Rhinolophus ferrumequinum: one gene and its partner. The protein of the gene in region 1 purifies or fractionates together with the protein of each later gene. This does not show direct contact. Links are inferred from orthologs where the notes say so. Each region holds a gene or a part of one and is shown in the gene's direction. Other genes may lie near its edges.

The links. The genes of interacting proteins can lie anywhere in the genome.
Region 2: the proteins of WDR62 (region 1) and CEP170 purify together in Homo sapiens (affinity purification with mass spectrometry; 3 studies listed by BioGRID and IntAct, with this or other methods). This does not show direct contact. The link is inferred for Rhinolophus ferrumequinum from reciprocal best matches to the Homo sapiens genes WDR62 and CEP170.

What each region holds. Positions count from the first base shown.
Region 1 is NC_046298.1:36,319,276-36,326,569, forward strand, and holds the start of WDR62 (WD repeat-containing protein 62), read left to right. Parts: upstream 1-4,277; 5' UTR 4,278-4,399; intron 4,400-4,727; exon of another isoform or gene 4,728-4,861; 5' UTR 4,862-4,912; coding exon 4,913-5,089; intron 5,090-7,294. Other genes in the region: THAP8 (THAP domain-containing protein 8), read right to left, coding at 4,115-4,197. UniProt on the Homo sapiens protein: Required for cerebral cortical development. Plays a role in neuronal proliferation and migration.
Region 2 is NC_046310.1:17,589,316-17,597,071, forward strand, and holds the start of CEP170 (centrosomal protein of 170 kDa), read left to right. Parts: upstream 1-4,737; 5' UTR 4,738-4,976; intron 4,977-7,756. Other genes in the region: SDCCAG8 (serologically defined colon cancer antigen 8), read right to left, coding at 3,787-3,853.

The sequences.
Region 1 (7,294 bases):
AGTAAAACTGGTATAGACTGAGAGAATAATTCCTGTTTTAAGCCACCAAGTTTGTTATAGCAGCCACAGGAAACTAGTACAGTAATAAAGGGGGAAATAAAAACATATATTCAGATTTGCTTGTATTTGCATAAAGAAACACTGGGAAGGACACAAAAAAAACCTAAAGAGGTCACCAGTGGGAATGAGGTGGATGGGATGGACAGAAATGGGGGCCAGAGCAAGAATTCTCAGGCAAAAGGGAGACAGAGAGGGCAGGTGGGGGGCAGCTGGTGAAAGACGACAGAAGGGCTGATTCAGAGAAGAGCTGTGGCACCCAAAGACCAGAATAGCAGGGCCCACAGCGGCTGCAGTCCCTTCAGCCTCGGTCTTGTTGGTCATCTTATCTAGAGCATGAAGTGGCATACAGTGCTAGAAGATCTTTCCTTCCTTAGTAATGTTAACTCAAAATTTCTTCAGGGTGATTAAATGCTCAGCTAAAAGACTACATTTCCCAGCCTCCTTTGCAGTTGGGGGTGATCAATGACAAAGAACCCAACACTGGGTGGGGTTTCTGGGAAGACTTTGTAAAGGGGACTGACTCAGTTTAGAGTTGAGTCCCTTTTGCTCTTCTTCCCTTTCCTTTTCTTCCTACCAGGAATGGTAGGGCACAATGGCTGGGGCACTGGCAGCCATCTTGAATGGAAGCTACCTGCTAAGATGATAGAGCAGGAAGACAGGACCCTCATCCCTGATGACTGTGAAAGCCTCTACACCAGTGATGGTCTGCCAATCTCTGTACTTGTTTTATATGAGAGAAAAATCAACCCTGTGGTAGGTAGACTGTAGTATTATTCAAAATATTTGCTCCCATCCCCATTTGAAAATTACACATTTCCACTCCACTGACCCTGTTCATAGACCCTATGGCAACTGTACATAGTAGCCAGATGACTTTATAAAAATCAGTTTATGTCTGTGTGTTAAGTTGCACCAATGGCTGTCAGGCTTTTCCTCACAAAGGCTAGTTCATTTCCATCTCAAGGCCCATGCCTGAGTCAGTCTTGCACAAGCCACTTAGCTAAGAGTTGGGTGAGGAGCAGGCTTACCATAAACTTATTTTGGCCGACAGAGTGCAACTGACGTGGGTCATTTCTAAATATACAATTTACCAGGAGCCATTGGGTGATTCTCCCCACTTGCTCTTCTCCCTAGCAATATTCCACATAGGGGCGGCTTCTTCAGCCTGAGTCCACAATTAAGATAGTATAGAGTAGGGCTACAAATGACCTGTAAAGGGCATAGTGTGAGCAAGAAATAAACCTTTGTTGTAGTAGTCACTGAGATTTTGTGAGTTTGTTACTACAACATAACTTAACCATGCTGATTTCTACATACCCCGTTTGTTTAAGCCACTATTATTTCAGGACTCTGTTACTGCCAACCAGATACAATTCCTAAATGATACCCCCTGATTAGAGATGACTGTCACTTGTTCTTGAAGGGCCTAAAACAGAACTAATGTTTCCTTTGGCTGCTGGGCAGTTTAAGTTATTCCCTGGCAGCCACTTTCCCTGATATGTTTCACCTTGTTCCTACGTAGCATCCATGCCCTCTCCTGAATCTCCTTTAGAAACTGCTCTTCACCCAACTATTAGCTAAGTGACTTCTGTAAAACTGACTCAGGGGTGGGCCTTGAGGTGGAAATGGACTAGCCTGTGTGAGGAACAGCCTGACAGTCATTGGTGGGACTTAAATAACACAGACATAAATTGATTTTTATAAAGTCATCTGGCTACTATGTATCGTTATCATTGTTCTCCTTCCTATTATATGTGAAACACTTAGAATAGTGCCTGGCATACAGTGAGTGCGTCTAAGTTGTTGTTGTAAGGGAGGCAAGAGTGGAAGCAGGGAAACCAGCAAGCAGTTATCACAGTGTTTCGTTAAGAGATGATGGCAGACTGAACTATGCTGTGACAGCAGAGGTGACAAGAAGTGGTCAGACTGGGAAAGTGTTTTTATTTTCCTTATTTCCTACTAGTTTAGTTAGGAGTTTCCTATTTGTGTTTATAACTGCGTTGCCAAGGTGTTAGGGGTTTTGTTGTGATTTTTGCAGGATGGGAATGTGTCCAAAGGGTAGAGTAAAAGGATGGGATAATGGACTAAATTGGGGGCAATGGTGCTAAAGAAAAGAAAGGCTTATGGATGATGTCCAGATTGTGTATTCATTTCTTCAATTTTGACCCCTCACCTTTCCATGAGCTCTGTCAGGGCAGGAACAAAATCTGTCAGGGTCCTTTGTGTCCTGCAGGAGCTTGCTTTCTCCAGGGAGACACTCAGAGTTGCTGAATTAACAAATGGTGCCAGAATGATATATTTTAAAAAGCAAGTCTGGACACAGTGATTTAGGTTTAAAGACTCATATGCAATCCTCCTACCCTGTACCAGGGTCCCTCAAGGCATTTGTACTGTTGGGTTTCCTGGGGAGTCCATCTGAAATGCATTCATTGAATTCATCCAACAAATATTTACTGAGCACCCTCTATGTGCCAGGCACAGTTCTTGGTGCAGAGGGACACAACAGAGAATAAGACAGACAAAAATCCCTACCTTCATGGAGCTGACATTCTAGTGGAGGAAGACAATAAATGAATACATCAAATAGGTGGCTTGCCAAACAGTGATAAGTGTAAAGGGAAAAATAGAGCAGGAGGCAGATAGGGAGAATATGTATGGATCTGGGAGAGGGTTATCATTTTACATAGAGTGATGGTCATAAAGGGAAGAATTTTCCACACAGAAGGCACAGCACAGGCAAAGGCCTTAGGGCAACAATGTGCCTGGAGTGCTAGAAGAGCATCGAGTAGGCCAATGACACTGGAGCAGAGTAAGGGGCAGGAGGGACATGAGGTCATACAGATATTGGGGATCCAGTTCCTGTAGGGCTTAATAGGCCTGCTTCCTGCCTGCTCCAGCCTCATCTTCTTGTCTTTTATAGCGTGAAGTGGGAGCCAGGGGAGGGATCTGAGCAGAGAGGAGGACCGTGATCTGTCTCAGGTGTTTATCAGATCCCTGTGACTGCATGTTGGCAGTCTCACCAAACAAAGGAAAACAACAGAAGTATTATTTGGGTTTGGGGAAAGGGTGAAACTTAGATGAGATATAAATAAAAGTGGATAGGCTCAAAGCAAAGTAGAACTGTGCGCAGAGGGATCAATATTAAGTCTGGATTGTGAAGTGGGCCCAAGGTCCTGTCCACCAGGAAGCAATCAAGTGTATATAGTTGTGGAACACTGTGTCCAGCAACGCCTTACCTGAAGCTCTGCACCTGGATTGTAAATCGAGGCTGCTTCTCTATGTCAAAGTGACTTAACTCCTCCAGGCGTTATAAGTGAGATGTTCAATTCTTACTGATATAACTTCAAACAGCAAAGTTTGTGATAGTCTATGATTTTAGAGAATAAAGTTTCCTAGTGAGTAAGAAAGCAGTAGTCACTCAAAGAAGGGAAGTTGTGTCACTTTACATCTGCAGCATGTCCCTGAGAAAAATATAGAAATATTTTTTTCCTATTAACTCTTCATCTGGCTTTTTCCCCTGTCTATTATTACAGCCAAATAAATGGGAAGGCCGATTTTTTTACAGTTCAAACTAATTTTTACTTTCTCAAGTGTGGGGAAAGAGAATAGGTAAGGATGATTTTAAGGTTTCTAGCCTGAACTACAGGAAGGTTGGAGTAAGCTATTAACTAAGATAGGAAAGGTTGTGGAAGGTTTGGGAGGAGGCAAGATCAGGAATTTGGTTTCCGAAGTTTTGAGTTTGAGATGGCTCAAATTCGTGGAGCTGGCCCTTGGGCAGTTGTAGGCTCTTACAAAGCCTGGACCAACCTCACTTCTCCCTACACAGCACTCCCCGTTTTCCGCTCGCCCCGTTCTCTGCCTATTTCCCATATTAGCACCTTTGTATGTGCGATGCTTACTGATGAAATGCTGAAAATACCGTCTCTTCACCCTGCTAACCCTGCTCTAGAGGCCTGAAAGCTGGACCAGGTGCGAGAACAGCTGCATTTATTATCGGGCCCCGCCCCCTACAGGCCCCGCCTCCCTGCACGCCCCGCCCCGCACTTGCGCTCACTTGTAGAAGCTCACAGGGCGGTTGTCGGCGCCCAGTCGGCCGGCAGTGTTGGAGCAGTTCGGAGCCCAGCAGTACTTGGGCATGGCTGTCCAGCCCCGTTGAGTTTTGCACGGTCTGCAGCCACACTTTGGTCGTCGCCGGGAGCCACCGAACCCGCCCCGCCCGCGCGCTCTCCTCCTGCTTCATGTGAGGAGCTGGGTGCCTCGTCACGTGCCGCGGGAGGGTCGAGAGCGCCTGCGTACTATCCGGCCTGCCGCCTTGCCACAGCTACGCCCTGGTCACGTGGTGAGTGGGGGAAAACGAATACGTCTTCTTCTAGCCACCCGTACTTTGTCACAGGTTTGGGGAGAGGTGGCGTCACGGCGTTTCTGAGCCAGCGCCAAATCGTCAGTCTCTTTCGGCTCCACCCTACATTTACATCCGGGAGACTGCCACTGCGCGTATAGTCACCCGGGGGCAGCAGCAAAAAGCGAGATGAGGCGGCTTTGGTCTTAGTCACGTAAAAGTTAAAACCAGTATGTTTCAGTGAATGATGAAAACACAGACTGGATAAAAAAACGCCACCATGCTTGGTCAAGCATCAAATATACTAATTGTGGCTCCTCCCCGCCAGACACGCCTTTCCGCCTCTTAGCCCTCATTGGTCAAAAGCGCCACCCGGCAGCCCTGAGATTGGCCAGACCAGCGGCTACCGCATCCAATGGGCGGCAGCGCCGGTTTTCCCGCGGCTGTTCGTTATTCGAGTAGGTCTTGGCGGCGGCGGTGGATGAGTAACGGTCGCCCGGCTCCGGTACGACGATGGCGGCCTTGGGCTCCGGGGGCTACGCGCGGAACGATGAAGTCGAGAAGCTGTCATCCGTCATGGCGGGAGTTCCGGCGCGGAGGGGCCAGTCCTCCCCGCCCCCCGCTCCAGCGCTCTGCCACCGGCGGCGGACGCGACTCCCGGCGGCACCCGAAGACACGGTGCAGAACCGGGTAAGGAGCTGCTTGTCCTGCCCTCTCCTGGTCCTGCCCTTAGATCTTTGGCTCCGCCTATCAGCTCCTGGCTTTTCCCCTCAGGCTGCTCTCTGGACCCGCCTCATCTATAAGCCCCGCCCCTTTGGTCAAGGCTCCTCCCACTTTCCGTCTCATTCTCTCAGGTACTGTCCGTCATTCCTAGTCCCACCTCTCAATCTCTGGCCCCACCTTTAGCCCTTGGAGCATTTCTGGGTTCCTCCCTAGTCCCATCTTTCGGAGTGTATTTTAGTTCTAATCACCTCCTAGTCCCGCCTTCCTGCGTGTGTATCGCTTGTCTTTAGACTTCTTTCTGGGCCCTTCCACTTTTGTTGACCTCGCCCCCGCTGGGTCTTTAGGGTCCTGAGGCCTATTTGCCCCAACTGTCCCTCACCTGTATGTATCCCTCCTTTCCTTACCCCCTGCCATCTCTCTTACCAAGGTGGGATTCTTATTCCATATTGCCATCCAAAATTATGGAGCGGATGTAATATTTGTAAAATCTCAGCAGCGCTGCCTGGAGGGGAGGGCATACAGAATAGTTCCCTAAGTCCTGAGACATAGAAATTTTGGAGACTATTTTAGAGTAGGTACGTAGAGGGAATTCCATTAGCACAGCAACAATTTAAAAAATTGTTCTCCAGCTCCCTGAGCCACAAAGTCTGCTTTTATAACATGGAGATAACAACAACCGTACCATGGAGTTGCAGGGAGATGAAATGAAATTGTGAATATGACTTGCCTAGCAGAGTCCAGATAAAGGGTGGATACATGATAGCTGCTAGTAGATCTTGTTTCTGCTTCCTGCTGCACTTTGATTTTATCACCTACTCCTGGCTGAAAGGCCCTGAGCAAGTGGCCCCTGCCCACCTGTCTGGCGGTACCTCTCTCATTCACCCTCTCACAAAGGTCCACTCACACTGTCCTGTCTGTTTTCCTGAGGCGCCAAGGTCTTTCCCTCCTCCTAGCCTTTGTGTTTGGTGAGTTCTCTGTCTGGGCTGTTTGTTGCAGTCTCCTCATCCCTCAGGTCTCAACCCCAGCCTAAAGCAGACAACCACCTTCATCTCTCACCCAGCGCCCTATATTTCATAGCCCTCATCTTGTATTTTCCACCTGAAAGTGCCTTATGAGCTCTAAACTATGTATAAAGTAGAGGAATAATGATAAGAATACACCTTAAAATCTCCCTCTTAGGAACTTTTCTGTGCCTCAATTTCCTCATCTGTAAAATGAGGATAATAGTATAAATATGCTCTTATAGAGTATTTGTGAGGATTAAGTGAGGTCACATATCTTAAGCACTTAGAACAATACCTGGCACATTGCAAATACTCTATTAGTGTTAGCTACTACTGTTATGATTGTGCATTTTGGGTAATTGATGTCATTTATTTTGACATCAATTGTTTGGTGGTGCAGAGTCCACTTGGCCTGCAAAAGACCTAGTCTGAAAATTACCAGTTATACTAATGCCCAGTAGTGCTGATTGCCAGATAAAAAGTGAGTGTCATTGCTTGGTTGCCTGGATTAGAGTCCTGGCACTGCTTCCTGGATGGCAACCCTTCTGGGCATCTGTTTCCTCACCTGTAAGATGGAAATGATGATGACAGTAGTGACCAAAGCACAGGGTCATTGAGAACATTAAATAAGTTAATAGTTATAGGTATTTGAACAACACCTGGCTCCTGGTAAATGCTCAATAAGTGTTAGCTATTATTGTCTTATATTTGCCTTTCATTTCTGAGGCCAAGGACTTGCTTGAGAATATTTTACTTTACAATTAGAAACTAGTCTATTCAAAATATGAAAATATCACAGTTCTGTTTGATCAACCATGATGGGGGCTGGCCCATTTAGCTTACTTTGCTTAGAAAATTTTTAAATTTTAAATGTGATTGTTCATTTGTTTCTTTAGTTGGTGAACCTCTAGACTATAAATTCGATGAGGGAATGGACAGTGTCCACTTTTGCTCGCTGCTGTGTCTCCCCTGCAGGGCCCAAAGTCCTGGCATTGGAGCCAGACTACCTGGGTTTGTATCCCCACCTTGCCAATGAAGGTGTGGGACCTTGGGCCTCAATGTCCTCATCTGTAAAATGGGGCTGATAATAGTGCCTTCTTCCTTGGTTTGTTGTGGGGTTTCAGGTCTTTCAGCCACATAAAATACTGAGAAATTATTCAAAGGTCAC
Region 2 (7,756 bases), on another chromosome or scaffold:
GTTAAGCTCTGTGATTCCCAGGATACTTGGAATATGCTCACTTATTACCCCACTGGAAACTTTCATATCATCTACCGTGGAGGGATAATATTACAGATTTTGGGGTAATGAGGTCTTTTAATTTTTATGTCAGAACTCTAACTTTGAAGGAATGTCATTAAACCTGCCCAATTTCTTGCAGCGGGGGCATAGACAACCAAAAGCAGGAGATATCCTTACAGGGGGCAAACAATGAATATATCTGAAAAGTGTAAGGGAAAGGATAAGACGTGAGGGTGGAGTGTGAAATGGGCTCTCTATTTCCATGGCTGCTCTGGGCTCATCAGAGTCAAGGAGAGGCAAGACGTACACTCAGGTTTTAAAAGCAAGAAAGTGAACTTTGACTCCGCTTTCACATCAGAATTTCAAATTCTTAATATACTGTAATACCGAAAATTATATTTAAAGTGAAGAAATGAGGCAAAGCTATAAAAAATGGAAACTTGTGAAAGCATTTTGCATTTTTATGTGGTTACTTGCTGTCTGAATATAAATGAAGGTATACAAATAATGATTACAGGTATAGGTATTTAAAAACCAGAGGAGTAACCTGTGAGGAAAGACTACAAATGCTTATCAGCCTTTTCTCTAAACAAGAACTAGGCAAGACATTTTGGGGAAGTAATGGCAGATAGACAAAACCAAACAAACCAACAAAACAAAGCAAAGAAACTTTAAATTGCATTTTGTCTGATTGTATAGAACACAATTTCAAGTTATTAGGCACAAACACTCAAAATGAAGTTCTACATATAAAATAATGCCACCATACTTTGTTCTGAAACACAAATGTTGACTTTAAAAGGAATTATCCTACTTAAAAGGGGGTAATTTATATGTATGGAGTGAAGAACTTCTGACTGTGCTTCCCTTCAAAGTTCGCTTTGTTTTGTTTCCGTCCATGAGCTGTTATATAAACTAAATAAATGTAAAAATAAACAATGCTACTAAATAAATAATAAAATAAGTCCTGGAAACCCATGAAAAATCAGGTTCCATTTCTTGATTCATTGTTAAAATGGTCACTAAACATTTTTTTTTAAAGTAAACTTTTTTCTCTGCTTTGTCTGCTCTTGATTATAAATGTTTTCACTATCACATTGTTAGCACACTAAATTTAAAACTTATTTTAAAATGTATTAGCTTTGAATAAAAACTCTTCACTTTGTAATTACTGAAAGCATTATCATGGGTATTAAACACAGTAGTACTCTAACATTAGTTTAAATTAACCATTGCATCAAAATGCCTAATATTAAATGGCCTCTAATACTTACATAAAAGTTCAAAATAAGGTCAAAGAAGGAAGAACATTAGGAGATACTTATAATGGAAAACAAAAATTTTTTGCCAACCTCAAAAATTAAACAGAATCACTCACATTATCATTGTGCACAGTATTTTTCTTGCTTTCAAATGAAAGTTAGAAGTGGTTATTTCTGTATCTAAAAGTTCTTGAAACATCACTAGGATGATGAAGATATTCATTAAGACCAATTATTTTACTCTTGCAGTTTGAATACTCACAGTGTTGACAGTTTGTAACACTGCTGACAGGTGGGAACAATAAATAATAACTCTTACAAAATCTAGAGTCACTTGAAAATAAACTTTCTAATCTTCTTGAAAAACCTTCCCTTTGTTGCAGGTACCAATTATAAATAGCAGCTAACATTTAATTAGTGCTTCTTATATGCCAACCACTGATCTTTACCCTTATTGTCTTTCCTAGTAATCTGTAATTATTTTGTTTATTGTCTTTCTCCTCCACGAATCCAGAGGCTCCAAGGGGACAGGGACTTTGTCTAGTTCCTTATGTATCTCCAGGACCTAGTATGCCTAACACACAGTAGGCACTCAATTAATAAGTGAATCAGTGTTCTAAATGCTTTACATAATTTTTTAAAACTGTTGGTCATGACCTAGAGGGTTAAGAAAATGCAACAGAAGAGAAAATAGAGTGCATTACATTTAGTATTTTTTAATGAAACTTTTCTTTTAGTTTACGTATTTGTCCCATATAAAATGTATTTTTACTGATGAGTGACAGTAAAAAGAAAAAAAAAAGAAAGTCTCAAAATTATTGCTTTATATGGATTATTTCATTTGCTTCTCACAACAACCCTGTAGACGACACCGTAACTTCCACTTTAAAATAACAGAACTGGAGCTTCCCAGTTGGTGACTGCATCCATGTGCTGGCATGGCAATGCACCCAAAGAGGGCTTCCACAACTGAAGGGTTCAGGCCCGCAAGACTACCTCCACTTCGGATGCCAGTCACGAGTCCCAGGTTATCACTAGTACTTCTGACTGATTGGCTATAAATTCAAAGGGTTCCTACAACCCCCTCCTTGGCTCTACTGTTTGTTAAAATGACTCACAGAACTCAGGAAAGCACTTTATTTACTATTACTGGTTCATTATAAAGGGGTACAAATCAAGAACAGCCACATGGAAGAGATGCATAGGTGAGACATGGGGATGGGGTGCAGAGCTTCCAAGCCCTCTCTGGGTGCATCGCCATCCCTGCGCATGGATGGGTTCACCAACTGGGAAGCTCTCTGAACCCTGTTGTTTGGAGGGTATTATGGAGGTTTCATTACATAAATACGATTAGATTAGTGACTAACGCAATCTCCACATTCTCCCCTCTATGGAGACTAGGGAATGGGGCTGAAAGTTCCAACCCTGTAATTGTGGCTGGGTCTTTCTAGCGACCGGCCCCAATCCTGAAGCTGCCTAGGGGCTCTCAGACACCAGCCATCTCATTACACACAAAGACACTTTTATATGAATGAAATTTGAAGGCATATGCTAAGTAAAATAAGCCAGATATCAAAGAAAAAATATTGTATGATTTCACTTAGATGGGGTACCTAGAATAGGCAAATTGATAGAGACAGAAAGTAAAACAGAGGTTTACAGGAGCTAAAAAGAAGGGGAAATAGTGAGGGGGGGGGAACAGAACTAAGGTTTTTAAATGTTATATATGTCCAAGGTGACAGAATACAATCTTCAGTTCTATAGATACTCATTCATATGGTGCCATACTAAAAAAAAAAATCTGAATTAACTAAATATGGTTTTAGTAAGTAATAGTAATTGTGACAGGATTCATAAAGAAAAATATAGGCTTTTAAGACAGGCCTGACTGACTTTAAGATTTGTCTCTGCCACTAAGCAGCTGTGTGGGCTTTGTCCTGATTTATCGTCTTTGCACCTCCATTTATTTCCCCATGTGTAAAATAGGGATATTTATAAGGTTGTTTTAAGTTTTAAATGATATAATGTATGTAAATAGCCTAGAGCACTAAATAGAGCTGTTGTGATTAAAATAATTATTAGTGCTTTCTTTTCCTGGTCCAATAAATCATTCAATCCACTACACCGTACTGTGAATGTGTAAATAGTGTGTAGCAGGAACTCATTAAAGAGCAAAGTATGGGAAATGTGCAAAAGTGGCATAGAGCCGTTCAACAGGTTCTGCTGGCGCTGGGTGAGAAAGATGCCTAAATCAAGATCAGAGAGTTGGTTCAGGTAGTAAGGGAACCAGGGAAACACTAATGGTTAACAGTAAAAACACAAACGATCTCATTCTTCCTCAAAAACATCCTTCAACAGCAACATCCATCTTCTTCCTCTGCATCCTGGCTGAGGCCGAACCAAGGTGATAGGAAACACACCTAGTCAGCTCCCGCCCACTAGGCCCTGGTACCACGGGGCACGGAGGTTCGGAGCAACTCACCCCGGAGACTCCGTCGATAATGCCCCAGAATCTCCTCCAGGGTAGAGTTCTCCGGGGACTTCGCCATGTACAGACTCAGGATCAGAGATGGGAGTTACGTGGGGAATAGTCCAATGTTCTCCCCTCCGAGAACAGGAGGCCTTAGCGCCCCGGGTGGACCCGCCAGCTTCCTGCCGCTGCTGTCAATGGGGAGCATGGAACCCCGGACCGGGCTCGCGGGGGTTCTTCCCCCCTACTAGCCCTCTTGGTGGATGACGGGAGTTGTGGTTCTCAGACTCCGAGCCTGCAGTGTCCAAGTTTCTGAGACCTTCTGACTACACTACAATTCCCAGAGGGCACTGCGCTCCCAGAGCCAGCTCAGGCCGTTTGGTGGCCGGATCCGGTTGCCAAGAGACTGCTCGGAAGCTCCGCCCTTTTCCTGATTTAGTCCTGCCTTCATCCCATCCTACTGTTTGGACCACCCAAAATGACAGAAAGGGCTCGCAGAAGGCCTTGACTTTTCTAAGCAATTTGCTAATATGCAGTCGATTCTTGAAGATTTTCAAGGACGCAAATAACAAGCTCAACACTCTTCAGCCACGACATTTGCCAAAACAGACAAATTCTCAAGAGAAATACGCTCTAAATATTCCAAAGAGCCTAGATTGTGAAAGGCGGCTGACACTACAAATCCTAGCATGCCCAGCCACCCGACCTCCACTTGGGGTTGGCGCACTGCCCGCTGGGAACGGTAGTCCTCGTTGGTAGCCGTCCCTGCTAAAGTTGGGGTCCTCCTCATTGTTCAAGCTGGTCTTTGAGGCACGCCTGCGCAGTAGGCAGCTGTAAAACCCTGCGGCGAGACCCTCTGCACAGCCCCTTTTCATTGTCTGTTTTTGGCGCCTGCGCAGTAAGCGATCGTTGGGACTGAGCCGGGAAGGGGGTAGGGCCGGGCTGCTCGCCCTTTCTCCAAGCGCCTGCGCATTAGGCGGCCGCTCTTTGCCGTTACCGCTATGTGTGGGGCGTGTGTGGAATAACGTTAGTGCCCAGCGGAGCTGAGGGGCCGGGAGCTCGATCACAGCGGCCGGGACGACGACGACGACGACGACAGCGGCAACGACGACGACAGTGTGGGGGGAGGACGGCGTGCGAGAGACTCACGGGACGCGACGCGCCCCGCCTCCCCCGTCCGGTCCCTCTCTCCGCGGTGAGGGGTAAGTGATGCGCTCAACTGCTGGGTTAGGCGCTGCCGATCCCGTCGCGGCCACTTTCCACATCCTCTTCCTTGGGTTTGCAGCGGGGGCTCGGGCCGCGATCTGCGGCGGGGCTAGGGTGCGGGGCCGGGCGGGGCCGGGGGCGCTTCCCGGATGCTCCTCGCGGCGCCGCCACCCCCACGCACCGGCCGGGGGCTCGGCCGGGCCAGCCCTCGTCTCCCCACCCCACCCTCACCCCACCCCCACCCGCCGGCCCTTCGGTGCTGCGGCCGCGGCTTTCCCGGCCCGTGGCCGCCTCCGCCCCTTCGCCGGAACGTACGGAATCATTTCAGCTCTCTCGGGGCTTTGTGCAGCCCTCCCCCATCCGCCGTGGCAGCGCGAGGGGCGCGGAGGGAATGGCCGCGCTGCCGCTGGGGAAGTGCTGTTTCCCCGGCTGGGAGCAGCTAACAGCGCCGATCCTTTTTTGTGGTTGGTTCTGGGCTGTGGGGTGGTTGGCGGGAGGTCAGGCGAGGAGCCTTTCGGACGCGCTCGGAGGGCGTGGAAGACGTGGTGTCACGCACCCTGCCAGGCGACCGGACCCCGCGGGAGCTTTGGCTCGGGAGTCAGCCCCCGGGAGCAGAGCGTGGCTTCCTGTCGGTTTCATTGTCCTGAGATTCAAACGTGGGGTGTGGGTACGGTTCCCTTCGTGTTATTCCCCAAGGGGGAAAATTATGAGCGCTGCCTAACACTGGGCGGGAAGACGTGGAATTTGTAGAATCTCTATTTTTCGGTGTTGAGTAGACTGTTATTTATTTGAAGAATGAAAGCTCCTGGAAGACACGGACAGTGCCTGTGCAAGCATTGCCAAAGTGATCAATATAAAATTGCTAGATGACGATGAAGCCTGGACTAGGAAGGGCCTGACGACGAAGCTATTGTGTAGCAGGGAAGTGAAGCAGCAGGATTGTTTTTTCATTGGGTGGGTAAATGCATTCACGTTCCTACGGGAATAGCTAAGGCTCCGTCTTGCCGTTTTGTGTATTTAAGCAATCGAAGCAAACAAAAAACAGACCTGGTCCATTTCTGCTTAGTTTTATTCATGCTTGTATTCTCTTTGTGAAAATTCACTCCCGTTAGAGAGAAATGTGGGGAAGCAGGTGATACACTTGATTGAAGATGCATCTTTTAAAATGATTTGATCCTGAAGCTTCCAATGTTTCCAACCGTTTGCTGGTTTTAAAAGGAGGAATGAAGCAGGGAGGGGAGGAGCAGGTGGAGGAATAATGTGAGAGGAGAGAGTTCCATTATGAATACAGTATCCAAGTCTTTACTGATAGAATCCTAGCTGGACATGCTTCAAAGATTTACGAATTCAGCTCTGGAAATATTACATTGCAAGTTACAAACCGTTTTGTATGTTCTGCATTATTATTATTTTTTTGAGTTATATGAGGGTTGCTTTTTGTTCTTCCTAACTTTATAGATATTGCATAATTAGGGTCTTTTAAAACTGAAGAGACTAAGTGCACTTGACAGAGACAGAGGAAGATAACTAAAATTTGGAAAGGTAACTGTCCGTCCAAGCCAAACTGCTAATGAAAGGCAAAGCCAAATAAAACCAAGGTGTGTGCTGCGGAGTGCTCCTTCCAGTAGCCCCCTACCCTGTGGACATTTACGGAAAGCTGCTCTACAGTCTCTTTGCTTGTCTGTGACAAACAATCAAGTTCATTGACACCCCAGTTGTATTAATCTAATCCTTTTCTTTGTAAAGTAAAAATAGTAATTCTACTGAAGTGAAACTTTAGTTTTATGAATTAACTTACTGTTATAGGAAAAGATACTATAACATGGGCTTTTCATAAAAAGAGAAATGGATTATTTTTCCCTACTACTTATTAGAAACCATATTTTAATATTATTTCCGGATATTCAGAAGTAGTTTATAGTATGATCAGGTCTATAAACTCTGTTAAAAATTGCCACATAACAAGAAACTATGAAGTCCATTTTTCTTTGATTAATGGATTATATTAAACTTAAACGAGAATTTACCTTTTGAGAAATAACTTGGAACTTTTTATCAAAATTAAATTTATGTTTTTTATTGAGTTGATTTTGCCATAAAGTCCTTTCTTGTTCTTATCATTTTTATCCTACATAGCATTTTAATAGACTTTTAAAACAATTTATTAATGTTTCTCTGAATTTCAACTTAAAAATAATCTGTAATTAAATTCAGTATGTGCAATTATGTTAAATCAAACTTAAAATGTATTTTACTGGTAAATTTTGTGGTGTTCTAAAATGATTTTGTATGGAAATAACCATCTACATGTTTTTTTATCTTAGCATTAGAATGATGAAATTTATACTATAAAATATATAAATTATTATACATTATGCCTTTTGATACAAATATCAAGATGGTATAAAAAAAATTCTCTGCATAGTGATTTATTTGTTCCAAGTATCAGGTTTTTGTTTCCTTTTATCACTGGAAAAAAAATTTGTTTTATTGTTACATCTGATAGTAATCAAATATTACTCATCTGGTACTGAATACTGTCTATGTATAAAGTTGTCAACATGTTTTTAATTCAACAAAATGTATTTCTGAAAAATAATTTTTTCTATTTTAATTAGTGAGTAATGATGTTTTTTCTTTTCTGTGGTGAACACTAGCAGTGTTAAGCTATCCTAATAAATATCTAACAGATAGCATGATACTAAGTTGCCAACTAAAATATCCGTACAGTTGCAAATTACACAGGAAGTATAACAAAAGCAGTTACATACTATCT